Astyanax mexicanus: one gene and its partners. The protein of the gene in region 4 interacts with the protein of the main gene of each other region in a pairwise test. Links are inferred from orthologs where the notes say so. Each region holds a gene or a part of one and is shown on either strand. Other genes may lie near its edges. The genes, in order: zmynd19, transcription elongation factor A N-terminal and central domain-containing protein, rfc5 and nab2.

Region 1 (7,795 bases), on a different chromosome or scaffold from region 4:
ATTAAAGTTATAGCAATAAGAATTACAATTTATTTTCACTAGTAAGAAAGCAATTATATGTAATTGTAGTTAGTTTGATTGTTTTTACAATCAAAAATGTCACTATTCATAAGAGAGTGAGGGAGCATTTTACAATAAGCATATCAATTAACAGTCATAAACGATACTAACTGGTTAAGCAATGTCTGGAATAACAATTATAACGCTATTAAACACTGTAAACATAATAAAACGTCATTATTAATAAAGGCTTAACTAACAACATAATCTGTTGTAAGTACTGTTAATTAAATAATGTACTGTTATTGTAAAGTGTTACTGTGAGTAAAATCCCAAAATAACATTACAAACAGGTATTGGTGATGGGGTTGTGACTAGTAAAAATAACAGGAACACTTTACTTAGATGGTCAATGTATGGCATCATTGATGCTCAACTGACATTCAACTGCATGTCTATTAAATGCAAATCAATGCTATGTGGAATGTAAATAACACAAAATAGAACCGAACCCTACGCCTAACCCTTACCGTAACCATTTTTTTAACCCTAAAAATAAATGATTTAATTATCTATTCAGTGTAACCCCACACCCAACTCTAACCCAAACTTTAATCTTAACATTTAGAGATTGGGTTAAGGGTTAGAAATGTTATAGTTAAGGATAAGATTAGGGTTAGGTGTACGGTTAGATTTTAGGGTTGATTAATGATTGAGGTTATGGTTAGATTTTAGGGTTAAATAATAGTTAGTTCAGTTCTATTTTCAATCATTTACATTCCACATAGGGTTAATTTGCATTTAATAGACGTGAATTTGAATGTTAGGTAAATGTTAGACAATGGGGCCATCAAATGGACCATCCAAGTAAAGTGGTACAAAAATAACATTAGGACAGATGTTTATGTTGAAGATGTGGCAAGTAAAAAGAACATTTAAGACTGGTGAGAATTGTGATGGTGATGTGGCTAGTAATAACATTAAGGGCAGGTGAAAATGGTAAGGATGGCTCTGTTTTTAGCACAGATCTGATATTAAAATATAGTACGTCTAGCTAAACGTTAGATGACACCTGAAGTAAAAGTCTTTACTACGAAAATTGCTTTACACAGAACTCTAACTGGGAGATAATAGCCATTGTTGGTGTGATTTTAGGCTGAAAAGGCTTGACTAACACAACAATAGCAGCAAAGCTAGGGGCTAACTTGCTAAGCTAGCAAGCTATAGACCTATAGTTACACCGTGTAACCTAATGTTAGCTCCCACTGTAGCGAACTAGGTTAACTGTTACTGGGTTATCTAGATAAATAATAGCTAGCTTGTGATCTCTCTATGTTATGTAGTTTAATACGCTATAGATGCGTAGTCTTTAGTTAATCGGGCTAGCTGTTGTACGTAGCCCGCTGTTGAAACTCCTCCACTCAGCAGACATGCCGCCGGTTTGAGTCACGTTGCAGCGGTTCCTGGTTCAGAGATTTGCCGACTCGTCTCCTGATTAAATGTCCGGCTAGCTAACCGAGTGCTAAGTTCATTTAAGCCGGCTGCTTAAGAAACATCGTGTAGTATTTTAAACCCCACGTTTCGTTAAATGAGTATCTTAAATTATAAAAAGAGACATGCTGTTTAGGGCCACTATCCACACACACACGCGCTCACCAGCCTTCATAAACCCTGCCGTTTATTTTGCTAGCAGGTTAGCTGCGTTAGCTTCGTTAGCTTGGAAGCTATTCCGGTGTTCTGCCGAGTTATGCTATCCGTCGATACGCGCTTTCTAAAGGCACTGCGCATGCGCTCACCTACACTTTTTAATTATTTCTCCGTTTTTTTAATATGATAAGTGTGTTTATTATCTTTTATGGTTTTTTGAGCATTAAACAACCTGGACTCACAGTCATTGCACAAAAGAAAAAAATGACAATTAATAATAAATAAATAGAAAAATAAAAAATACAAAAAGCAGTTTCTAATTACCTCCCATTACCTTAGCTAACTTCACCCTAATACAGTGATTTATACTATCCAATATATATATAAACATACAGGGATCATGCTCTAATATGGTGCTTCATTTGTATTTTTGCCGCCTTATATATTTTGCCTTAACCATTTCAGGCCACTTGCCACAACAACAGACATGCGTTTTCTTTTTTTCCTAAATGTTTTGTTGCGCAGAACACTAACGTTAATTGAGACCATTTGTTAATCAGAATAGACTAAAAACGATCTTATGAAACAATAGCTTAGCCCTGCCCACTGCAAAAATCCTAGCACTAGAGTCACATAGGCAAATTAAAAAAGCTATTTTTTGTACTAATTGTGTGTGATTTAGAACACTTTTTACCATGTTTATTTTAGTGTTTAGGGATGGCTTGTGAACAAAAAGGACAAGATCAAATCTAAAATCAAAAAATGTTAAGCACTGGCCTCCAATGCAATAGACATAAGACAGTTACTAAATTTATTTAATTTGATTTAATGTTCGTATAGATTTTATATTAGAATATATATAACACATAATTCAGGTCTGAAAGGGTTAAATACAGCTACACTAGGGAAGCACGGTTTGACAACGTAGCACAACTCGACGGAACACCGGTAAAATCGCTTATTCGACCAACAGACACGTTCAGGGGGTGTGTGTTTTAACGACCATCGTGCTGTACTGTAAGTTAGCCGCTGATTTATGCGTTAATCTCTAAATATTGCTAATAAAAGCCTCCTCGCCAGCTCTGTGATCCCCTCCCCTTCGCACATGGCAGTCCCCGGGATCGGTCTCACCTTCCCGGCCACACGGCCAAGTCGAACAATCCCGAGCTTGAAATCCGACATTAGACGGACGGTCTCGCAGGTGATGAGCGGAAGGTTTTAAGCGCAGGTCTGGCGGTTCTCGGGTCTGAAGGCAGTCCGGGCAACCCCTCACCCCGAGTTCCCTACAAGTTCTGTTGTCTGCGAGGGTCAGCCGCTGCCCGACTCTTCCCCACCCGCTACCAAACCACCGCGATGCGCCGCCGCTGAGTGGCGTTGGAAAACCTGCCAGAGAGGGTTGCCAGGTCCAACAAAAATATCCAGCCCAAAGTCAGTGTCAAACCCGCCCTTCAGAAGCTTAAAGCCCAAAAAATATACAGCTCTGGAAAAAAAGAAATAAGAGTCCACTTAAAACGATGAGTTTCTTTGTTTTTACCTAATTGAAAACCTCTGGAATATTGTCAAGAGGAAGATAAATGATCACAATCCATCAGACCAAGCTGAACTGCTTGAATTTTCGCACCAGGAGTGGCATAACGTTATTCAAAAGCAGTGTGTAAGACTGGTGGAGGAGAAAATGCCAAGATGCATGAAAACTGTGATTAAAACCAGGATTATTTCACCAAATATTGATTTCTGAACTCTGAACACTGCACTGTCACTTTACAAAGACAATTACTGTTTACAAACACTGTCATTATAAACTTAACTGAGACACTTATGCTCTTAATTCACACTATTATGCTGCTATAGCTAACTTGCACTCTGGACTTCATGCTGCTGCCACCTGCTTACTCTCCCTATTTTTTGTGTGTTTATCTTGATGTCTATTTTGTTCTATTCTATTTTATTGTATTCTTGTTTTTATTTTATTTTATTTTGTCTATATGTATCTATTTTAACAATTGCTCCTGGGTGTAAACTGGATCGTGAGACCACAATTTCATTCCACCTCATGTACCACATGTGATGCGAATGACAATAAAATCTCCTTGAATCCTTAAAACTTTATGAATATAAACTTGTTTTCTTTGCATTATTTGAGGTCTCAAAGCTCTGCATCTTTTTTTAGTTATTTCTCATTTTCTGGTCTACATGACCATATTTTTATTTGGTATTTGGGCGAAATGTTGTCCCTAGTTTATTGAATAAAACTACAATGTTAATTTTACTCAAATATTTACCAGAAAAACTGATTCAGAAAGTATAGTGGCCTCTTACTTTTTTTCAGAGCTGTATGTCTGTCACACGTTTAAAGCAAATGTCAAAACAAAGATGAGTGTACGACTTATTATTTTGTTTATAAGGGATTCATTATCAGTATTGCTATTTATCATAAAGTCATTAATAATATTGTAAAATTTGTGTTTCATCAATTATTTTATAACAGTTTCATATCCAAGTCAAGAACATTTAATCTCTCTCTCTCTCTTTATCTCCCTTATGTCGTTATGTTCTCCTGGTTCTTATTGTACACGTTTGCCCACCGTGTTCATGTAACATTCAAGGCAGCACACTTGATTTTCAAACATGCTCAAATTGGCGGGAGAATCTCGAATCTGGCAACTCTGCTGCCAGCGTTCACAGGGGGCGGGACAGAGCCCTGCTTCAGCACACACCAACCCCTGAAGAACCCCGAGCGCCTCAGCCAGTTAAAACGCCGCGTATTTGACTGTGTCTGACGTGTGCCTGGCTGCGTACTGGGGTTTGATCCCAGCAGCCAATCAAGGAAGGGAATCTCACTGCAAGCTCCTCCTACCCGCCCGCTTCCGCCGCGTCATTGGCTGGCGCTTCTCTGAGCGCGGGAACGTGGCGCCGTTTTAGCGCGAAATTCCGAGTCAGAGCGTGAACAGATAACCTAGAGCAGTGCTAACTGCTATATACTCAACTAGTATGCAACAAAGTTTTAGTGTTATAAACAGAGGTGTCAAGTTATGAAGTACATATACTTTGTTACCTTGCTTAAGAAGAAATTTTGGTTATCTATACTTTTAACTGGAGTAAAGACGACTTTTTGCCTCTCTTCCTGACTTTTTTACACAATTATCTTAACTTTCTACTCCATATATTACATTACAAATAGCCTTGTTACTTTTACTATTTAATTTCAGCTTGTTTTCATTCCGGATCCATGATCTTTAAAAAAACTATCCAGATAAATCTCTTAAAAACATTTTTTATCATCCCCACCCTTAAAATTACTTTTATTTTTATAATTTAAGTACTTTTTAAACCAGTACTTTTACACTTTTACTTGAGTAAAGTTAATACCCCAACTTTATACACTTTAGATAATTTATACACATTTTACACATCATATTATACACATTAGATGGTTGTTAGTTTGAATTGCATTAGGACTGAAATATTAAATGCAAGACAAAAAGCACATTCTTAAAAATAGCATAGTCAGTGTCACGCAATTTTTTATTTATTTTTTGACATAATATGTATCTAACATGTCAAAATTTCATGATAAGTGTATTGCTACCCATCCAGGGTAATGATTATCTCTAAATGTCCCAGTTTCGTAAGTTCATTGTCTTACTGTGTCTGTTAAATTGACTGATTAGACTCTGGGTGCACTTGCATGACTGTTTTTCATTGATACTGCAGAATCATTAGACTTGACTACCCCATCAGCCCTGGTGGCTCCTACAGGTAGAGTTGGACAGGCAGTGAATTGGTAACTGTGGCTCTGCTGTAGCATTATTTAAAAACAATACAACCATTGTTAATATAGTCAGTGCTGTGTAAAACCATACTTCACCAAGCCTTCTCTGATCTTCTCTGTTATGTTCACCTTAAGGACATGTATGTTGGTGAGAAAAAGTCTATCAGTATATATTAGTATAACAGTGTCCAGGTTTTTGTTAAACATTGGTGGCAACTCTAGGACCAAAAAAATGTCAAATAGTACTTGAAATAAACTTTCTTTAATTGGCTTCCATTGAAAGATAAGAAGTAGTTTTCCTTTACCATTCACTTTATTTTTGTTATGAGGACAGAAATAATTTCTTCCTATATATTTGTGCAGGTGTCAATGAACAGACCAACAGTGCATCACCATACCAGACGTATTTCAATTTTAGGTGACTTTCTACTGTAAGTCAAATAGCATGTTATTTAAATGTATTATGCAAAGTCTTTTTGTTTTTTTTTGGCATAAAGTTTTGTGTGCATAAAGATTTAAAATGTGAAGCAAATACAAAAAACACTAGAATGTATCCTGCTTCAGTATACCCTGGTTGGCTTCAACACACTTTGGAATAAACATTGCTGTGATTTGACTGCATCCAGTCCCAAGGGCACACCTGAGAAAGAGAGCGAGAGAGAGAGTATGTGAGTGTCATTATTGTGCAGTAGGTCTGTGAGAGCATGAGCCACTGGGTTGACCATTAACATCAACCTGCCATTGTTTTCCCATTCCGCCCACTCTGGCTCTTTACAAATGGGATGATTAACTTGGATCTCAACTCTGAAAGCTGCTGAGGGACTCAACTCAGTTAAAGTCAACTATCCAGTTTAGTTGGCTGTCCTGTGAAACTAGAGAGCACTTCCTCTCTCTCTCTCTCTCTCTATCTCTCTCTCTTACTCTTTCTCTCTTTTTTCTTTCTCTGCATCCCTCTTACTCGTTTTTTCTCTCTATCCTTATCGCTCTTTTTCTCTCACTTACTCTCTCTCTATATCTTACTTTTTCCCCTCCCTTAGTCTCAATATATCTTTCTTACTTTCACTGTCTCTTGCTCTCTCTCCCTCTCTCCCTCTCCCTATCTCTCTTTCTTTCTCGCTCTCTCACACTCTCTCTCTCTCTTTCTCTCGCTCGTAAGTTCTCTCTCTCTCTCGCTCATTCGTTCTCTCTCTCTCTCTCTCTCTCTCTCTCTCTCTCTCTCTCTCTCTCTCTCTCTCTCTCTCTTGGAAAAACTGGATCCTCCACCTGGAGCTGGAACTTCCGTGTTGTACACCTGTGACAGGTAGGCCAGGTAGGCCTGGGTGGCAGAACTGGATGCACCTGCTGCGCAGCTAAAAGAACAGCTGAGAAAGGGTAATAGCTATAACTATCTAAGCTTTGTAAAGTAGAGTTTAACGCTGTAGCTGCTGTTTTTAACACAGCTGAAGACTCCCACCTCTCTCCAGCAGTCATGAGTGCTGATTACGGACTTTGTGACTTGGCCGTGGTGTCGCTGCGGGACACCGAGCAGGAGGAGGAGGACCCCGGACTCCGGGGGTCTCAGAAGGAGCACAATAACAACAGCAGGAGCAGGAGCTCGGTGGAGGGGTCTCCTCTCTCTGACACTCTGTCTGAAGACCCCTGGATAAACGTAATTCCGTCCCTTTACTCAAACGGCTCGGTGGCGGGGGCGAGCCCCGCGGCGGACTCCGGCTCCCCGGCTGAAGTGAAGCTCTGCCCCGCACACCAGTCGGAGCTGGACCGGTACTGTAACACCGAGCAGAGGCCGGTCTGCTCGCTGTGTGAAACTCTGGGCTCCTGCCAGGGTCACACAGTCACACAGCTGACCGAACGAGCTACGACCGTCAGGGTGAGTTACTGAAACATTAAGGTAACGTTGTGACAGAAGAATGTAACTCAACTTGTGTTGTTGTTTACTGTCTGTGTGCTTCACATAGGACATAACATACCCAACACTGTGGTTAAGAGATCACTTTAATTTCTGAATCAGTTTCTCTGATTTTGCTATTTATAATTATATGTTATAAGCCAAATTAAAATTGTTGTTTTCTTCTATAAACTACAGACAACATTTATTCCAAATTCCAAATAAAAATATTGTCATTCAGAAAACTGCAGAAAATGAGAAATGGCTAAAAAACAAAAAGGGAGGGCTTTCAGACCTCAAATAATGCAAAATAAAATAAAAAGAAATTATTAATATTCACAAATCATTTAAGAGTTCAGAAACCAATATTTGGTGAAATAAGCCTGTTTTTTTTTATCACAGTTTCACATATTTATCATATTATGTCACAATAAAGATTTAAAGATGATATCCTGTGATAAAAATTATATCACGATACACAGTAATAATCA
Region 2 (6,359 bases), on a different chromosome or scaffold from region 4:
TTGCAACACAGCACCAGCCAAAACCTCAGCCTTACTGACAGCTATTTGTCAAACTAATGCAAATTCCAAGATGACTGGCTCAGATGTATGCAAGTCATACACTCTTTTCTTTACCAGTTATTCTAGATGTTTGCAGGATGTTTGTCTCTTCTGTTTTAGTGGATAAACACTAAAAGTAACTTGATACACCAACAAAACAATGCAAGATGCCACAGCACCCGTCAAGCAATGGAGTGTGGGGGTTGAGGAGTGAAGAAGGTCATGTGATGTCATTCAGGAAGACACAATTGGCAGATTCAAACAGCATTGAGGACTTGTGGGAGTGTTGAGAGAAATCAGCCACTTTAGGATGTGTGTGGACAGCAGAGAAGAATATGTGGGAAACAGGTCATTTATAGAGTACTGCAAGAAAGCATTAGGAATAAATTACAAAGCAGTCATTTGATGGTCATCAAGACCAGTTTTTGTCTGTCTCATTTACACAGCCCCCGGCCCTTCTTCACACAAGCAAAGTCCATAGTGAGTAGATGCTGAACATCTTAAGTTTGCTTCTAAAGATTCTGTCGACCTAAAAGAATCAAACGACCGCACAGTCGTGCCAGACTGTCATGCCGTGACTCAGAATGGCAGTTTGTTGTCACACATCACCAACCAGGAGGCCTGGTGTCATGATGTGGGGTACAATTTTGCATGATGACAGATCATCTTTGGTCTTCATTACAGACATTTTGACAGCTCAAAGTTACATAAATGAGGTCCAGCAACCAAAAGGCCAACCTTTTTCAGAAAGCACATTCAGGTACACTATTACAACAGGACAATGCTTGTCCATATATTGTTGAAATTTCAGGAGTTTACCATGACGACACTACTGAGGATACTATGCCATTGCCAGCCACATCACCAGACCTCTCCCTGACTGAAAATGTGTAGGATGCTACTAGACATGCAATCAATACACCACTCCTGAGTCCTGCCACAAAATCTGCAGGAACTGTGTGAAAATATTCAAGCTGCATGGGATGCATAATCACAGGACATTATTAGGAACCTCTACATGCACAGGCGTTAAACATACACTACACATTACGTATGTAGATGTAGCTTAAAAAATACAAACAAAGAGTTGTCCATGTCTGTCTTCAAACCAACACTTCCTTCTGGGTGTAACTATTTTTGTAACTATATCTTTGAGAATTGTCTAAACATCTACTCCTTTTAATGGACCGGGCCTTTAATAGACCGGGCCTATCTAATAATACGCTGACATTTCAGTGTCATACTTCACCAAATTAAAGTGAAGCGAATAGAGGAAATAAACAAGGGTACTAAATAAAATCACACACTCAGAGAAGAACAAACTGGTTCTTTGTCATCTGGCACTGAAACAGTGTCAATTAGCTTAGCTTGTGATGAGGGAAGTAGTGTGAAGGAAGCACCAGGGAATCAGTCAGAACAATTGATACCCTTCAGACCGTAGCTCCCACTCTGCAAAACGGTATTTAGCAGAAGTTGCCTTGTTTTCCTGATCAGAGACCAGTTCCTCAAGTTAGTTTACAATAGCCTTGTTACAGATTTAGACAGTGGAAGTTGGTCACAGATCAGTTTTTAACAACATAGCTATGAACCCTAAGTACTGAGCACAGCAGGAAATGCTTCTTGCTCATTTAAGCATGGAGTCTTTAAACTGTGCGCTTCTACTGCACTCTAGCTGCAGACAGAGGAAACTGTGGACTCAGTAAAATTCCACTCGCATAAAAGTGATGGGACATCCGATTCATATCAATGAACCAAATGTCCAATTCATTGACTCTCAAAGTCAAGACAAGTCAGCTTTTTATATCCTGTCCCTACATACTTTTAGAAACAGAAAAAGGAGGCCATCTACAATCTACAGAAAGAGAAATTGGAAAAAATAAAATGTTTGAGTTTGATTTACCCAACAGCTGCTCAATATGGAGTTACAATGTAGAGGTGGACCAATTCACATTAAAGCTAAATACATATATTTAACTATTCAAAACACACAAAAACTTGCACAACTAAACATAAAGCCTAAACACTACACCCATGATCTACAATCCCTCAGTCCCTTGGGCACTGCATCAAGAACTGTCATTGAACAATAGTGGATAGAACCACATGAGCAAAGGATTAATTTTCAAAGCTTTTGTCAAGCACAGCAATACTAAAGTACATTCACAAATAACACCTAAGACTTTACTGTGCAAAACAAAAGCGTGATGTTATCCATGTCCAGAAGTGATGTCAACTTCTCTGGGCTCATAGGCATCTGGGATGGACCGTCCATGTGCATGTGCTCTGGGCAAAAGACAAAAATGACCATCCAGACTGTTATCAGCAACAAGTCATGCATGGGGTTGTTTCAGCACAAATTTGTGATGGTAGCATTAATTAAAAGTACATAGAGATTTAAGAGAGTAACAGATGCAGCCTATATGACAATTTTTTTTCCAGGGACATCCATGCATTTTCAACAGTTCCATACGCTGCACACAATGCAAAGGCTGCACATGTCTTTAAGGTGTTGAGTAAAGATATGAGAGTATTACAAAGTAGTAAAAGTTTTATCTTTGCAGGCCTGAAATGCAAGAATAGGGCCCTTTCAACGGATCAATTCATTCATTTTTGGACATCGCAGCTGCCCACCCAAGTAAGTACAGACTGGACGGCAGAGGTGCAGACATGTTAGTCATCTCACGCCTGCAGGCCCCATGCTTTTAAAAGCAATTGTGCCTAATGGCTTCTAGTTGAAGGACTCCAGGCCTGATAAGAAACCAGACGTTCCACTCAGTTCTCAAGGCCTGTGGTTTTCGCAGCCACACCCGAACGTACTTAATGGATTACAACAGTAGGGGGTGGGAGCCGAGAGGTAAACCAGTTGCAGAGTTTTTCTCAGTGTTTTTGTATGTGTTTGAACCTCTCAGGTTACTACAATTGTGGAGAAAATTAGAGAAGAATGTCCTTTATACTGTTTGTATGTAAAGTTTTGAGCCTTTCTTCTTTAGTCATATATGAACTACAGGATATTAACAACCCCCCTGTGGGAGTTCACTCTCTTTAAAGTGGCAGGAAATCACACCAGACCAACACGACGTGTCCCTTGGGTCAGGCTGGTCATGAGCGCTCAGTTCATTCATTCTTCAGGGAGGAGAATGGACATAGTGTTATGGCATTTGAACTAAGGGATATCACAAGACAAACACATAGGCTAAGCCAGTACAATGGAGCAGATAGTGTGTGGGTCAGAATGAGGGCATTGTTGAGCCCAATAAACACATACCTCTGTATTATAAATCCCCAGTGGTATTATAAAGCAAACTATTACAATAAAAACCAACTTGAATACACATAGTTGAGTATAAGTCAGCTTATCTGAATAAAAATGGTCAATTTTACACAATAAATGACAAATGTTTTAAGACCAGTTTGTTGGTATGTTAAATACTCTCTCTATCTTTGCACTCTGAGATATACTACGATGTAGGTATTTTTAACTGGTCTTAGTTTTAGATTTACTAGTAGACTACACATATTAAAATAAACAAGAAATACTTGGGATATATATGTGGTAATGAATTATAATATGAATGAAGAAGTATACTAATAGTACACTTAAATAAACCGATTTATATTTTTTTGTAAGGGTTGAGCTTTACAATTCCCAAGAGAATACTGAGTGTTGTGTTTTGTGTAGGACTGATTCCCAGTGACACACTGTCCTAAACAAACTAATACTAATACTTTAATAATAAATATAACCTTTAAATGTTTTTAACACATCGTTTTTGTAGTAGGTTGCTGAAAATAAAGGACCACTTAAAATTTGGAATATTATCAAGAAGAAGATGGATGATCACAAGCCATCAAACCAAGCTGAACTGCTTGAAATTTCTACCAGGAGTGGTATAAAGTTATCCAAAAGTAGGCTGCAATGAATGCATGAAAACTGTGATTGAAAACCAGGGTTATTCCACCAAATATTGATTTTTGAACTCTTAAAACTTTATGAATATAAACTTGTTTTCTTTGCATGATTTGAGGTCTGAAAGCTCTGTATCTTTTTTGTTATTTTAGTCATTTCTGATTTTCTGCAAATACATGCTCTAAATGACAATATTTTACTTGGAATTAGGAAGAAATGTTGTCCGTAGAATAAAACAACAATGTTAATTTTAGTCAAACATATACCTATAAATAGCAAAATCAGAGAAACTGATTCAGAAACTAAAGTGTTTTTTACGGAGCTGTATATTTTTTGACCAACTGCGCCATCCAGCGCCTGAGTGAAACACTGTCTCTGAGAAATCACAACAAACATGGCGGCTCGGAGCTACAGAAATACGAACTGAAATGAAGAGGCTGAATAAAGAATACGGTATTGATTACAGATATTGAATCAGACATATAATTTTTACTGCTGTAATGATTGTATGGGAACAGACAGTCCGCTTTTTTAACGTACCTCAGCCTCTTCTGTTCAGAATAATAACAAAACATTATCTCCTCAGGCTGAGAGCTTTAGTTAGCAAGCTCATCTAACTGGCTAACTAAGTATAAACTGAATGAAATGGGTAACTAGCTCAACTACAATGCCAGTTTTGAGTCCTAGCAGTAGCTATGGACACCAAAGAGCTCATATTCTACGCTATTCAAATAGAAAAACTACAAAAAGGTTGCAATTATGAAGAAGTTTCATCTCTGCTTGCAGACTTGAGCAACAGTCCTGTAACATTAGAGCAGCTGCAGACCACTGACATCGCCAAGACCGTTTATCAGCTATTAAAATCATGTCCAGTGCAAACTAGTGTTCGCAAAACAGCAAAGGAACTGCTCTCAAAATGGAAAGGGATGTACAACTCATCCCAAGGACACAGCAGTACCAAAGACACAAGTCAAATAAAAGAACATGGACCACCTGAAATGGCTCAATCTGTTCCAAGTGCTGAGACTGAAACAGTTTTGGGCCCAAAAGTTCAGCACAGTGATGTCCAACAGATGTCAAGTTCTGATTCAGATCTACCATCTTCTAAAATCACTGCACTTTTACTGAAGGCAGATGATAGCAAGTCCACAGCTTCAGTTCCAGAGAACCACAACGGAGAAGATTCTAGGGTTCAGTCTACCAGTTCCACAGACTCCAAACCTGTGAGAACCAAGTGTGTGGAGCTTCTTATCCAAGCCTTGATCCCAGACCAGAAACCCACAAACCCAGAAGACACAAGACAGATTTCCACCCTAGCTCAAGCCATTGAACAGCACATTCATGCTCTCCACAGGCAAAACCAGGCAAAGTACAAGTCCTGTGTAAGAAGCAGGGTGGCCAACCTGAAGAATCCAAAGAACCCTCATCTTCGCCAGGGTCTTCTGACAGGAACCCTAACCCCAGAGGTTTTTGCCCGCATGTCTGTGGAGGAGATGGCAAGCGAGGAGCTCAGGAGCCTGAGGGAAGGATACACTGCAGCAGCTATTAGTGAACACCAGCTACCTCAGCAGCCTGAGGGGACGACCACCACGAAAGTGCGCTGCCGCCGCTGCCAGAGCATGAACTGCAGGGTGACCCAGGTCTCCCGCGGGACCCTCTTTCTGCCCTCCTGGGTGAGGAGTGGAAATAACGACGAGGACGCCATGACCTTCATGACCTGTGCTGAGTGCGGGGAGCAGTGGTACCATAGTCGCTGGGTATGCCTCTAATAAATAAGCCTAGCATTGACTGTGGGCAGGTTGCATGACTGCTACAGTGGCCCAGAGAGTCTGTACATCCTAAACAGCTATGTTTACATTCAAAATATTTTATATGTATAAAAATATTGAATAAAATATTTACATAACAAAACATTGGTATATCTTATTTGGTGGCATGTATTGAGTGTTACAACAAAATTGTTCAATATTTAAAACCAATAGACTTGTGCATATATACCTTGCTTGGGAATAAACTATAGGGAAATTGCATTGCGTGCTTTTAAACTTTTATATAGTATATGGTGTGCCAAAGAACCTATAATGTGCACCATGTGTATATATAATGATTTTAGAGTCATATAACTAATGAACTATATTCATTAAGAAATGGGAAAGAAAATCTGTTTTTATTTTTATTTTTTTAGAATATTAAGAGCATTGTACACAAACCATTCTAAACAATTATCTGAATGACTGAAAAAAATACACACACACACACATATATATATATACAGGATTTGTTTTTTAAATTGGGTATTTTGTCAATTATTATTACATTTGTTGGGAATTTTTTTTTTTTAATTTTCAGTTATCACAATAAAACTACATAAAATTTTGATAGCGTTAACAGTGACAATAATGATTATGTAACA
Region 3 (7,110 bases), on a different chromosome or scaffold from region 4:
GTCATATTCCTCTGCCTAACGTTCTGCCAAAACATTAAAACCGCTCTGAGTTCCTCCAAAACAACACTAAGAATGTGTGCCCTGGTAGTCCAGTAAGTTATGCCATAACATTAAAACCACCCACCTAGAAGATGGTACTGTAAGTAGTGTTATAATCATTAAAACTGACCCATTGAAGGTGTCATGTTGTACCAAAACATTAAAATAATTTTGCTAAACTGTTTTTGTAAAAAGGAGATGAGCAGACAAAACATGAACTTTGAACTACCTTTATACTGTCTGCAATGAAATGAGAGTAAAGGTAAATATAACGAACACTGCATTTTCCTTTTATTGTATTTTACTTTTTCTGATTTATGGTTTCCGCAAATATTTCCACTCACACTTTTATATTTATAGGCCTTGACTGAAGATTGCTGTGGAAAATGCTGTGTGCTATTGTTGCGTGGACGATTACATCAGAGCGTTTTCAGTAAGAACAGTAATGCTTTATTATGGTCTGTCTGTCTCTTTAATACACAATGGATTGGAAAAACTACAACTTAGAGCTCAGAAAAACACATCTTATGTAACTCTATCTTCCAGACACACACACACATACACACACACACAATAGATTGAGATGTAATAGTTGCTGGTTCGAAGTGTTTAAATTGCTGTTTTGAGTGTGTTGTAATCCTCACATTGTGCTTATGATAATGGTGGAAAAAACAGGGTCAAATACAAAACAACAACTATCCTTCCATGTCTAACTCTCACTGATGTTTAAAGTTGTGGTCCTTCCCTAAAAAGTCCCTAAAATTTCACTTACTGACAAAAAAAGAAGCTGCAGTCATGGCACACCCTGTACATTAGTTAGTTACTGTATGTGAGCTTCAACCAACCTCACTACCACAGTGTTAGTATCGTCGTTAGCATGGTGACTACAACATTATAATATTAGTGTGGTATTGGCTCTGTTCCCATGCTATTAGCATCACCACCATGCCAATAGTATCACCACTGTGCCATTAGCATTGCTAACTCACCAACTTCCACATCAGGGCTGGTTCCCAAATTTTGTTTTTGCAACAACTATTTTTTGAAGTATCTCTGAAAAAATCACAAATACCCATTTTGCTGTACAACGTGAAGATATCTCCTTGCTTATTTCTAATTGAGTCTTTGAATCATATAAGAGCAGCAGACAGTTCTGGCTTAGTACGACAGGTCCTGTCAGTGTGAACATGATATATATGCAGAGGTGGAAAAAGTACTGAAAAATTGTAATTAAGTAAAAGTACCTTTACTTTGCTAAAATTTTACTCAAGTAAAAGTAAAAGTACCCCTCTAAAAATCTACTTGAGTAAAAGTAAAAAAGTACTCAATTTAAAATGTACTTTGAGTAAAAGTTACTTGGTTACCTTTAATTATTTGACGTAAAAAAGTAAAAACAAATCATAAATTAAATTGTTTTTAATAAAATATTATTCCACATAATATTTAAAACCTTTCAGGCAGTATTTGTTCAGATCAGCCCATAAAACATTTTTAGTGGCATAGGTTTCTATGATCCATTTTTTGTCTTTACTGTTAAAAAGTTATGGTCATATAGGTGACTATAAACTGTATTTTTATCATTTTACAGTTCATTATTATATTTTAACTTGCCATTGCTTTGCTTTAACTGCTATTTACATGTTTTTTTTTAAACATTTAAGCAGATTGTTTAAAGATAAAAATACTTACAACACATGCTTTCTCAGGTTTGATGTGGAAGTTTTGAAAGCAGACAGCTCTGTCCGGCAGGGCATGGCACATTTTGCATTGCATAAGGTTGTTATTGCCTCGTTATTCTACGCACGAGCACGTTTGTTTTTTTTTTTTTAATTCAGACAATTGTTTTTTTCCCAGCATTTTATTTTTTTCCTCAGTAATTGGGAAATTTCCAATGTAGCAAAGTAAATTACTTGTGTCAAAATGTACTTGTGTAAAAATAAAATTACCTATTTTAAAAATGACCTAAAAAATGACCTAACTTTAAAAATGAAAAGTTACTCATAAAATGTACTCAATTACAGTAACTTGAGTAAATGTAATTAATTACTTTCCATCTCTGTATATATGGAATATATATGGATGAATTAAACACAATTAAACTGACTTCCACAAGGTAACGTTTGCTAAACTGTGGTGAATTGTTGCTTAGTGTTTCTGGCTTGTAATCCTTTTGTTTATTTAATTTGTAGCATTAACAGCTAGCTGTTAAGCAAGCTACTAACTTGGTTAGTAGCAGCTAATCTCTCTTAACGCAGACTTAACCTGATACCCCTCTGCATGTATTTTGTGTTTCATTTAATAATTTAATAAATAATACACTGTAGGAAATAGTATAATGCATAATTTTCTCTTGAAGACACATGCAACATTTTTATTTCTTTACTTCATACATCAATTTTAGCCAGTGTTATTAGCTCTGGCTTTAAATATATGTCTATCAACATGTCTACCCATTATATTACATTATATTAGAAAAGCTGTGTAGAACCGGGGCTGCACCACATGATCACATGATATGGTACATGAAATATAATAGTTTATTAACATATAATAATGAGTACTCCTACTTTTGAAATGCCACTGAGAAGTTTTTGCAGCCAACAGAAGCCCAGCAAAGCTAAGCTTTATTTTCTTATTTATTTTATTTATTTTTACACATTCAATGTGGAGGTTCATGGTGGTCCACAAGCTGGGACAGTGCTAGTGCTTGTTTTTTTTTTTGAGTATAGGTCAAAATACGACCCCTCTGCAGGTTCTGTTGGCATAAAAACTTGCTAGTTCAGCACTACTAAGAGCTTCTAGAAACCAGGCTCAGTGAACACACCTAAAGAACACACCTGGCACGGCTCTACCTGCCCTGCAGGAGATACGGCTGAGAGCCATGAACACATGCAGCTCCAGCAGGGCCTGAATGTCCTCCCTGGTTCAGATGAAGAAGTTAAGTTGCTTTCCATCTCCAGTGTCCCAACAATCCCAGCAGTAAGTTTTCACTATGCTAATATTACCACACATTTTTATCTTCCCCAGAAATAATTGTATTAAACCTTAAATGTGCTATATCATAAAAAGGCTGGCTGAAAGTTTTGGAACAGCCTTGATATATTATAATATAATAATATATGTCCTTTAGGTTTCAGTATGTTTTCATTCTTTTTATTATTATTTTAGTTTGTAAGTTTTAGTATGTTTAATACTAATATGTTTAATTGATATTCTATGTGTATTGTAACGTTTAGCATTTTAGTGTTTAATATTGTTTAATTTAGCTTGTGTTATATTTTATTTTATTTTATATTTATTTTTATTTTATTTCCAGTGCTTATGTTTATATCATGTTTATATGACATATTTATTACATATTATTTTTAGTATGTATGTGATAGTGTGTAAGTATGTTATTTATTTTTTTGTATATATTTTTGTGTATATATATGAATGTTTTAATGTTTATAAAGTTTTGTATTAATGTTATCATTCTTATTTTTGAATTGTTTAGCATTTAAGTATTTAAGTGTTGTTTTATGTTTTATTTATATATTTTTATTTCCAATGTTTTGGTTATTATATATCATGCTTACATATTATTTTGTATTTTTTCATGTTTTATTTTTTCTTTTTATACAAAATGTATATTTCTTTTTTTGTAATTTTGTCATTATGTATTTTTCAGTATATTTTTACTAGGTTCTAAAAACGGGTCTCATTCAAAAAGGGGCGGGGTTAGTATTCCCCGCCCTCAAATTGTATTAAGTTTGTGATTGGTTGGATCTGTAAAGCAGGCCTGTGTCGTCAGAAACGCTACTGACAGCAGTGAGAATGGATTCAGTTGATCTGAATCTGAACTGATTCTTTCAATCTGTCCGCTTTTTACTGAATCAAACTTCAGATTCATAAACAGAACAAAAAATCTGGTTTATTATGCGAAGGAAACAGATATTACGAATATTAAATAAATATTTATTGCGTTTAAAGTGCAAATCAGCTGGCAGAACTTAAGGAAATCGCATATATTGTGCAGAGACCACTTGTGAACTTGTGAATCGGTTCGCTGGTTTTCTGTTAAAAGATCCGGTTCAAAAGAGCCGACTGGTTTGCGAGTCGGGCAGCAAAAGCGCGCCAAGAGAGAAGTGGGATAGAACAGACAGCAAAACATGGCATCTACCAGCAAAACAGCGGTTCCAGCGAGGAATTTACCATGGTAAGACAGGAGTAGGATAGTTAGAGAGTCGTTTCAGGCTGTTGTGTGGTTTATTTAGTGGATTTAAGGGTTTAATAAAGAGAGTTTTTTTGAGAACTGCTGTAGCTATAGGTTCATATAGTGGGGCTAACGCATTAGCTAGCCTAGTTAGCTTGCAAGCTCTATGTCAGCTAACCTAGGTTAACGTTACTTACTAGCCTAACTTACTTGTCGTTTTCTGGGCCTTTTAGTGGCTATAAAACATCTAATACACGTTTTAAGTGTGGTATTATGGTGCTGAGACGGTATTTAGACGTAGAAAACGAGACTTAATAAATGTTTTTCTAACTTTGATTTTGATAAATTTGATATTTATCGTTAACTAACTAGTGAACAAGCTATAAGTCCAAATGTTTGTGAACAGCCCTTCAAATTAACTAATGCATTTAGCTAGCTAGATAACTAGTTAGTTAACTAACATAACTTAGCTGCTTGTATTGCCAATAGAATAGGACCCCCTGGAGCAGGTAAGGTAAACATGAACCTACTAGCACCTTGACTAATGCCAGACGTAGGGGGTATAAAGCCCCCCAGCATTTGGTCCATGTCATAGAGATGTAAAACTGCTAATACTGAGGTGCTTTTAAAGTAAAACACACATTTGATTTTGTATTTTATTCTTTTTTTTATTTTTTTGATTTGCAGGGTTGAAAAATACAGACCACAAACACTAGATGACTTGATTTCTCACCAGGACATTCTGAGCACAAGTAAGTAGTTAACACAGAATACACTAGTCATAACACAGAAGGATAAACTGATAAACTGCGATAACCCTTTCATGCATAGTAACATTAGTCACTACAATGGACATTTATTCAAGTGATTACTTTCTACATAAATCAGTTTTACTATTATTAATGCATGAAGAAAGGTCAAAAATCTGTCAGCTTCTGGGATTTTTATAGAACGCACCTCTGAGGGTAATATTTGTTCTGCACCATTAAAGTTTCCATTTAACTTAATTTATTTATATATTTTTTATTCAGTCAAGTGAATAATTGAATTTAAAATACAAAATAACTATACATTTTGTCAGCATAAAGGAAGAATAACTGTTTGGAGAAAACCCTGATTCATGTTGTCATAATTCATGCATAAGGGGGTTAAGTTGTGTTATCTAGTATTCCTCCTATGTAGTGCTGATGCATAACCATGCAGATTACCTTAGGACCAATGGGTTTTACAGTAGAACAAAATACTGTTAGGTAGAGCAGGGCCATTTTATTGTTCATATATACAATAAAATAGGTAATCGTTGGTGCTTAAACAACAGTCCAGCTGTTTGTTTACTGATGAAGTATAAATAGTCCACTTTAATATGATGAATTGCAGCATTGTTTTAAATGAGTGTTCTAAAAGTTGTTTCTGTGTATCTGTGACTACTGATTAATTTTGACTGTGATCACATGTGTTGCAGTAAATATTATAAATTATAAATATTCTTACCATATTGCCTGGTCCTGTACAGTAGTACAAAAACAATAGACAAACCACAGAGACATGCTGCATAGACAGCAAATATGAATATGCATGTAGGGTAAGGGTGGGCGATATGGCCCTAAAATAATATAACAATATTTCATTGTATTTTTGCGATAACAATACTCTTAGCAATATGACATATAACACTGAATTAAAAAATATTTCAAGAATACACTACTGCAACAAAATAAATTAGATTTTATTATTGCATACGATGATCTGATATGATATGGCACACCACTAACTGAGATATAAAAAAAAATACAAGAATTTTATCCGATTTGTAACACAAGTCAATGATCCAGAATGTCATGATACTAATAATGCACTCCAAATATCTCCATATATCCAGGATTAAAGTAAAATAAATGATACTGGACAGACATAATCTGTCTCTGGTATATATATATATAATGGGAAATGAGAACAGTGTGAGTTTTTCTTTGCTAAAAACAGCAAAAAAAATTATATACACAATATTTCAAAGTATAATATCGTTCACGATATTCAGAAATGTTGGCAATATTATTGCATACGATACGGTACAGTAACTGTTAGTCAGAAGCAGTGGTGGAATATTACAAATACTAGGAAACTTTACTATTTTATATAGTATCTGAGGGGTTTATAGATTTAGGGTGTTTTGAGTCATTTTCACACCTGTAGATGGTTTCCATTAGACTGAACTTGCTGCAATTCCTTTTGTTTTTGTTGGTTTTTAGAAATTATTACAGTATTGTTGTGTGTGTGTTATGGCACAACCCTGAGTTAAGATACAATATAGTATGGTAAACCTGACCAGGTGTTTAAATTATATTATTTTAAGTGATTTATTTAGAAAACCTACCAGTATAAGTCTAATTAATTGTAGACCATCACCAATAGTGTATTATTTTGTCTTAATTCAGTTTTAATAATGAACGTAAATTTACTCTATTTACATTATTGCTTGTACCTGCATAGACCTAATCTCCCTTTAATCCAATGTCGGCGTTCCTCAACCTAAGCCCCTTCCTGATGGTTGTTCAGATGTAGTTTTCTGGACTGTTTGAATGTGTTTTGTATGTGAAGCCCAACAGTGTTGGCTGGATCTGGACTGAAAACCAAATGGACTGCTGGTTATACAATAGCTAAATTCTGCTCAGTACCAGCAGCAGCAGCAGCAGCCGTAGATCCAGTCTTACGAAGTGTGCTTCAGACAGAGTTTCTCACAAGCTTCTCTGAATCCTCCTCCTCAGTTCAGAAGTTCATCAGCGAAGACAGACTGCCTCATCTACTTTTCTACGGGCCTCCAGGAACAGGAAAGACCTCCACCATCTTAGCCTGTGCTAAGCAGCTCTACAAAGATA
Region 4 (7,677 bases):
ACTCCTTTTTCCCAGCTTGTGTTTCGACTTATCCAGTCCACCTTAAATACCTAAATATTACGGTAATTCCACGCTGGCATTTGTGGCGCCCGTAAGTTATTACTCTATCACTTAAGGTGGAACACAGAATTACGAAATAAGCTGGATAAACAAGTCAAATGTTTTAGCTTAAAAAAAAACATAATTTATTTTGAAAGAGAGATATTGTTTATAAATCATTAGGTTTATATAACATCTCATAACTATTATATTTTAGTAATTATTCTAGAAATGGTACAGAACTGATTCTATGCAATATATGTCTTTTTAAAGATGTTATAAGAGACCTTCAGATGCAAAAAATACACTTTTAAAGTACGTCTACATTTTGAAAACAAAAAATGCACATGAACACACATTTATTCATTGATTCATCGTTTTAATGTTAAATTGTGAATTTAGTTTTAGATTAAAATAGATGTCTTTAGCATGTATTTTTATATTAAGTGTTTTAAAAAAAAGTAAAACATATTTTAAAATATACCTTTTCATATATACTTTAAATCTACGTTTAGCAGTGTTTTAGTAGAATAATTAAACAAATCAAAATAATTTTCTAATGTAAAAAGCAGATACTAGATGTTAGTTTCCAGAAAACATTTACATGCTGAAGCAATGTGAACAGATTTGGCTCTACACCCCCTCTACCCAGCACACACTTCCGTAGTTGTGTAAGGGCGAGTGGCTCAATACCCCCATAGTTGGCTTCTATGATAATGTCCATCAGTGTGGGTGTACACTTGAAGGCGAATTCTACGTTGGTTATTCAACATTTCTGCATTATTTAGCTGGCTGAGATCAACAAAGTGGGACAATCAGTGCCTTTATGACAATGCAAATATACACATTTTATTAGTTTTAATTGATTTGATTTAGATTCCAGACCCAGCAGTAAACAAACACAGTGACCCTTGTAAGTAATGTTAATTATAATATACATATGGTTAAATTTTCAGTAACCCTTGTAAGTAATGTTAATTATAATATACAAATGGTAAAATTTTATTTTATTAAAATATATATATTTTTAGTTTTTTATTCAGTTAAATAAACAATGGACAATAAGTGTTTGATTACCGATTTAATTAATAAATGTCAACTGTCAACATCTCAGTAATTGTTATCTATTTGAGTTGGAACAGAGAATAAATTGGTTTTAGTTAAATAGTTAAATATTTTGAAAATTATTTTAGTATTGGTGTGAAATACTTACGTTTTTCCTAAAATGGAGCGTTTCACACCAAACATTTTTGCTCACTCATCTTATGTGTTAATAAAACTTTTTTTTTTTTTTAAAGATTTATTTTTTTGATCGCTGGAATTCCACTTTTTATCACATTATCAACAGATCAATTGCATTAGCCAGCATTAGCCTAGCAATAGTTACGTTTTTATGCTTATTTTGCTGACCAATCCCAAACAGCACAGTCAGAAATGCTGGGGTTTGCGTGATGCAGAACCGCAGCCCGCTTTATTATATTCAGAGCGGACTGACATCACGGGGGAATCCCGCCGTCCGACCTGCGTCACGCGCGGAATCTTATCGCAGTCGGAAAGAACTCGAGCGCCCACCCACGGGGGCGTTTCCTCGGGCGTTCTTCTGTTTTCCACCTGTATTCAGACAAGACCCGCCCACTACTTGCCTTTACGCGCTGGGATTGGCTGGAATTCCCTTACTACGTTGAACTGCTTGAAGTGGTAGCTAATCCCAGCGCACTATGGGATTGGAGGGGCGGGGAATGTTTGAAAGCGGGTGGGAAGCGTTCATCAGGGATAGCAACAGCATTGACAGCATCCCTTATTGACTACTGATTAATTTGTTTGAGATAGAAATTAATATGATTGATAAACATTCAGAAAATATTTATATGAATGAGGAAAATAAATCAAAATAATAATAATAATGTTTTCTCTTAGGATCAAACTGTATAATCCATACAATATTATTACAATCATAATCTTGTGGGTAATATGTGTATATTGTTTTTCACAATATACACATATTAGTTTTTTGTGTTTGATCTATCAGTCATCCTTCCATATATCCGTCCATCTATCAGTATACGTTACTTATTTAGACATTGTACAGTTTTATTTTTGTTTTTGCTTTTGTGTTTGATATATCATTCATCCATCCATTCATTTATCCATCCATATATCTTTCAATCTATCAGTATATGTAACATAAACAGCTAAAATAAGCATTTGTTGATTCCAGTCCAGTAAACAGAAATGATATTAGTGTACACAGTGGGCTTGTTAGGTTAGCTATATTTACGTGAGAACCCATCCGGAAACGGGTGGAAATTTAACCAAAAACGACGCCGTGAAACCCCATCCGCACTCCCACCCCCACCCCCCGGTTGAGAGGCGCCTGTAGCCGGGAGAGGAAAGCTCTTTTTCGGTCAGATGGCGTGCCGCAGTCCGCCCACAGATTTCTCGCGCCCACACCGCCAGCGAAAAGACTGTCATTAACAATACAGCAGCAGTGGGACCGCGCGGCGGAGCGGAGCGCACTGTTCCCCTTCAGCGGACTTCTGGAAACATGTTAAACCTTTAACTTAACATTTAGCGGACGTTTCTCGGTCTACAGAACCCGCAGATAGAGAATAAGCCGCTTATTTCGGTAAGAAGACGCGGGAATGAGATGTGAAGGCTTTATGTAAACAGCGCCAGCAGCCTCACAGCGGACACCCTGCTAACTGCTGCTGCTGAAAGTGGGCGAAAATCCGTACAAGCGAACGAAACGCGGAGCGCAGAAATTAACGCAGGTAGACAGAAGGTGCTGGAATCGCCTCGAAATTCACCTTTTGAACCCTAGGGTAAGTAAAAACACGCCTGCTGTTCAGACTTAAACTTGAATCTAGTACAGGGCTGTTTCCATTGTTTCTCGTTTGAATGCTCCAGCATAGATAGGGGTGTTTAATGTAGCTATCCTTGTATGTATTGCAGTGTGCGCATGCGTAGAAGTCATATTGAGGGACGAGCATTGTCTTGTGCAATGTCAAAAAAATATTTTTAAAAACTTTTGCCTCAATGACAGGGCAATATAATTTATTTACTCCTTTATTGGGTAGACACTAGGGGTGGGCGATAAAGCCCTAAAATAATATCACAATGTTGTATGGTATTTTCGATAATGATATTCTTGACAAAATGACAAGACACTGAATTCAAACGCTTATTTCAAGAATACACTACTGCAACAAAATTAAAATTAAATTTTATTATGTTATATGATATGATATGGCACACCCCTAACTGAGATATTAAAAAATACAATAATTTTATCAGATTTGTAACAGAAATCAATAATCCAGAATGTCATGTTGCTAATAATGCACTTTATATATCTCCATATATCCAGGATTAAAGTAAAATGAAAAATACTGGACAGATATAATCTGTCTCTAGTAGATATATAATGGAAAATGAGAATAGTGTGATTTTTTTTCTTTTGCTGACAACAGCAAAACAAGTATGTGATAATTAGGGGTGGGTGATATGGCACAATATTTTTATTGTATAATATTGTTCAAGAAATTCCAAAATGTTGGCGATATTATTGCGAATGATACTATATGGCACACCCCTAGTACTCACAGTACGTTATTAGCTAATATAATGTCAAACATTTTTTTTATATTGCAGTATGTTTCATAAAACACATTTAAGTAAAGCAGTGTCAGATATTTTACAGTATTGTGCAGCCCTATCTCGGCCAGTGTAGTATATTATATACTGTTTAGCTAATTAAACTCGCTCATGTAACTTACTCCAAACCTTACATCCTCATTTTAACCAGCGGCAACTAGTGTTTGTGTATTATTTCACACATTTATGGAAACATAATAACAAGGAGAATTTAATAAATGAAGATGATAATAAAAAAAGAAGTAATCTTGGTTTATATTTTACAGTAACATGTGTGGATTTTTCCTTTACAATAAAACTAAACAACAGTGGCAATTGTCAAAAATACAGCTAGATCTCATCACCCCTCGCTAGTTGAAAGGTTAATTTGACTGCTTTAACCTTAATATAGTGGTTTATTTATTTGACTGGCATTGTTGTTAATTTTGTTTTAGATATAATCTTTATGGTTTTGTAATAATACAAATATTTGTATAGGTTTAGCAGTTTTTTTTTACCTAAAAGGGAACATGTATATTCCTCATAAATGTTTAACCCACATGCGCCCACACTGTTATTACAATACTGTCAAGGTCTCATGATTGCCAGTTCCAAGGAATTTACCTCCTGAGCCCACACACACAAACACACACACACACACACACACACACACACGTAGAGTTGTGGGCAGTTCAATATAAATGTCACCAGCTGAATCTTGGGTCATTAAGCTTCACCATCAGCAGCAAGAGTTCAAAAGAGCACAGTTGGTCATGCTTTTTCTCTCTGGTTGGGTACATCAGGTGGTGCTCTCTCACATTGCTCTCATCACTCCCATTGTGATTCTGGTCAGCACCGGTATCTGTTGGCTGGTGTATTAGAGCTTGGGATCCAGTGAGGTTTTGCTGCTATTTTACAATCAGTAACATTCCATATAAAAGTCAGAAGACACATGTAGTTTCATTGGTGGGTTTAAACAGAACATTTGTTCATTATAATGTTATTCTTATGGTCACTTCTCATCCAGCCATATAGCCACCCAGGATGTCGCTGCCGAGGACACTAGGCGAGCTGCAGCTGTACCGGGTCTTGCAGCGGGCCAACCTGCTGATGTACTATGACACCTTCATCCAGCAGGGTGGTGACGACGTGCAGCAGCTCTGTGAGGCAGGTGAAGAGGAGTTCCTGGAGATCATGGCCCTGGTAGGCATGGCCACCAAGCCCCTGCATGTTCGTCGCCTCCAAAAGGCCCTGCGTGACTGGGCGGCCAACCCTACGATCTTTAACCAGCCCTTGGCCACAAACGTCGCTGCTGGAGGAATCCCACTCTTTAAGATAGACAGCAGCAGCGCTGGAGGAACTGCTGTCGTTGGGTCAAGAAAGTTGAGCAATGGTCAACCAGGGTCGCCTTGTGATAGAGAAGATCAAGGGTCCTGCCTTACGCCATTACGAGACAATGGAAGCCCTAGAAGCCCCTGCTCTCAGGCATCACCTTTACCACCCGATCATCTATATAGGGACAAGTTGAGCCCGATGGAGCCGCACTGGCTCAGCCCAGACCCAGATGGAAGCGTGGGAGCCGATGAGGAGCAGCCCAGTCCTCCATTGCCTCTTACGGTTCACAACAGGCCCATCGGCCTCTCGACACCACCCACTTCGTCCTCATCCTCCTCCTCGTCCACTGCAGCAGCCTCCCCATGGCCTGGCGGTCAGCTGGACCCAGAGACGGCACGGGCCGTGGGTGAGAGCGTGGATCGCCTGCTCAGGACCATGCCCCAGGCTGACCCGGGTGAGGTAAAGACTTTACTGAGGCTCAACAAGAAGATGGCCAAGACAGTGGGACACATCTTCAACTTGGAGCCTCAAGACAAGAGCAAAGAGGAGGAGATCCGCAAGTACAGCCTCATCTACGGACGCTTCGACTCCAAGAGACGAGAGGGCAAGCAGCTGACTCATCACGAGGTACGTACACCTGGGGAGATTGGGGAACTGTGATTAAGTTACTGTAAGCTTCCTGGCTGCTGCGCTTTAGCTCCAACGCCAACCTGCCATATGCTCCACCAGTCTCAGAGGAGCTGTCACAGTGCTGCTGCCAGAGAGATTAGGCTGGTGATGTGGCAGCGGAAAGGTATAAAGCAGGGGTGTCAAACTCATTTTGGCCGAGGGCCACATTGGCATATTGGCTGTCCTCCGAGGGCCAGATGTAACTTATAAATATAAGAAAATGTAACCAAATGTAATATATGTAAATGAATGTAATTACTCCTTAATGTTAAATAACTCTCAATATATTATTTATTCAATCAAATATTACAGTTGCATGGAAAAAATGTTTGCTTGTTGCTCTATTAACATAAATCCTGTTATGAAATCCAAAAACTCCATCAATCAAGAACCAAACTATACAAGTGAATAGAAATGACATAAAATACAAGTTATATTAACTTTGATCAAAACGTTTGATACTGAAAAGAGGCTTAATAAATATAAAATCAAAAATTGTGAGCTGTGACAGATTTAGCATTTCCTCATCCAACCACTAGTGGGAGCTGCAGCAGCACAAGCCCACAGTCTTTACTGAGTCAGAGCTACAGCCCAGCCACGGGCTACAGGACTCAGTCTGGAGCGTTTTTAAAATTTTAAGTTCTTCTGTGTATGAAATAAAATAACCCCACTAACCGGATAATACAGCTCTCTACAGTTCATCTTTCAGCCCAAGCAGCTAACAGCAGCAGTTTAGAGCAGCCATCCCGGAGTCACTGCTCGGATTACATTATAAACAGGTCAGTTAGCGCGCTGCTAACCTCAGGATGTTTATAACTACGGAGTTTAGAACACACCACGGCTGCAAGGTTAGACTGTTGAAGGCTACTGGAGACTATTAAAGGCTATTGGAGGTTATTGAAAGGGTTATTGGGGGCAGAAATCAGTAAAGGCTGGTTAGATAAGTGATTCACCTCCTCGTCCTTTGCTGAGGTGAAACTGCGACTAGCGATGTCACAGTGAAGTTTATTAACCTCATTAAAACAGATTTTATCAGCTATTGTCTTATAAATATTTACACATAATTTATATCTCTTCTAAAAAGCGTTTATTTTGGTCAGTAACACAAAATGCATACCGGTCTTTCGCCTTGAAGCACAGCCGTCCGTCTGCATCAACTTTTCTTTTTCTGGATATTATGGGATAAACATGTCTCAATTCCACCCGCGAAGTTACACCTTCCCTCCGGCAGGGTTTCCACATCAATGACTACACTGCCGTGTAGTGGCAGTAAGCCGTAACTTTGCGGGTAATACAATCGACAAGCATTGTGGGAAATGTATTTTTTGGTCAAAGAACGCTTCTGACCTATTTATTATAGACACTAAGATTTTACAAGCTCTCGCGGGCCACATAAAAAGACGTGGCGGGCCACATTTGGCCCGCGGGCCTTGTGTTTGACACATGTGGTATAAAGGGTAGAACTTTTTTTTTGCATTTGGAACCCAGGAGAAATAGATATTAAAGTATATTTTTTGTAAATTACTAATTTTTGTTGTTTTGTTGTTGTAATTATTAAAATCAGAATATTGATTCCATAGTCTGCAAAGGCTGGTGTGTCAAAAGTGCATCATTATATCTGTAGGGGTTTTATATCTAAGTAAAAGTTTGTAGTTTATTTTGAAGACCACATGGTGATATGGTGGTCCAAGATAATATATTGAGGCCAGAAGACAGTGTTAAAGATAGTTAATTATATATTAAGGCCATATGATAATATACATAGAGGACATGACATACCGGTAATTTATTAAGACAATGAGATAAGGCCACATGATACAATATTTAGGCCATAAGATAATATGTTAAATCCAAAAAATAATACACTGATTATAATCTATGAAGACCATGAGAACATTAAGTTTCATGCGCCCACAAAATAATAATTAATGCCATGAACTTATACATTATGGCCACAACATAAAATAAAGTATTAAAAACAACCACCACATCACTGTAAGA

Evidence for each region.
Region 1: the proteins of nab2 (region 4) and zmynd19 interact in binary tests that used the Homo sapiens proteins (3 or more experiments, as listed by UniProt). The two-hybrid records come from large-scale screens. The link is inferred for Astyanax mexicanus from reciprocal best matches to the Homo sapiens genes NAB2 and ZMYND19.
Region 2: the proteins of nab2 (region 4) and transcription elongation factor A N-terminal and central domain-containing protein interact in binary tests that used the Homo sapiens proteins (3 or more experiments, as listed by UniProt). The two-hybrid records come from large-scale screens. The link is inferred for Astyanax mexicanus from reciprocal best matches to the Homo sapiens genes NAB2 and TCEANC.
Region 3: the proteins of nab2 (region 4) and rfc5 interact in binary tests that used the Homo sapiens proteins (3 or more experiments, as listed by UniProt). The link is inferred for Astyanax mexicanus from reciprocal best matches to the Homo sapiens genes NAB2 and RFC5.

Annotation. Positions count from the first base shown.
Region 1 is NC_064408.1:19,972,246-19,980,040, reverse strand, and holds the start of zmynd19 (zinc finger MYND domain-containing protein 19), read right to left. Parts: upstream 3,014-7,795; 5' UTR 2,830-3,013; coding exon 2,779-2,829; intron 1-2,778. Other genes in the region: bspry (B box and SPRY domain-containing protein), read left to right, coding at 6,888-7,286. UniProt on the Homo sapiens protein: May be involved as a regulatory molecule in GPR24/MCH-R1 signaling.
Region 2 is NC_064428.1:21,510,305-21,516,663, forward strand, and holds transcription elongation factor A N-terminal and central domain-containing protein, read left to right. Parts: upstream 1-4,327; 5' UTR 4,328-4,374; coding exon of another isoform or gene 4,375-4,399; 5' UTR 4,400-4,641; coding exon 4,642-5,715; 3' UTR 5,716-5,857; downstream 5,858-6,359.
Region 3 is NC_064429.1:31,486,034-31,493,143, reverse strand, and holds the start of rfc5 (replication factor C subunit 5), read left to right. Parts: upstream 1-4,092; 5' UTR 4,093-4,190; coding exon 4,191-4,237; intron 4,238-4,921; coding exon 4,922-4,986; intron 4,987-6,999; coding exon 7,000-7,110. UniProt on the Homo sapiens protein: Subunit of the replication factor C (RFC) complex which acts during elongation of primed DNA templates by DNA polymerases delta and epsilon, and is necessary for ATP-dependent loading of proliferating cell nuclear antigen (PCNA) onto primed DNA.
Region 4 is NC_064431.1:14,540,921-14,548,597, forward strand, and holds the start of nab2 (NGFI-A-binding protein 2), read left to right. Parts: upstream 1-4,666; 5' UTR 4,667-4,716; coding exon 4,717-5,634; intron 5,635-7,677. UniProt on the Homo sapiens protein: Acts as a transcriptional repressor for zinc finger transcription factors EGR1 and EGR2. Isoform 2 lacks repression ability.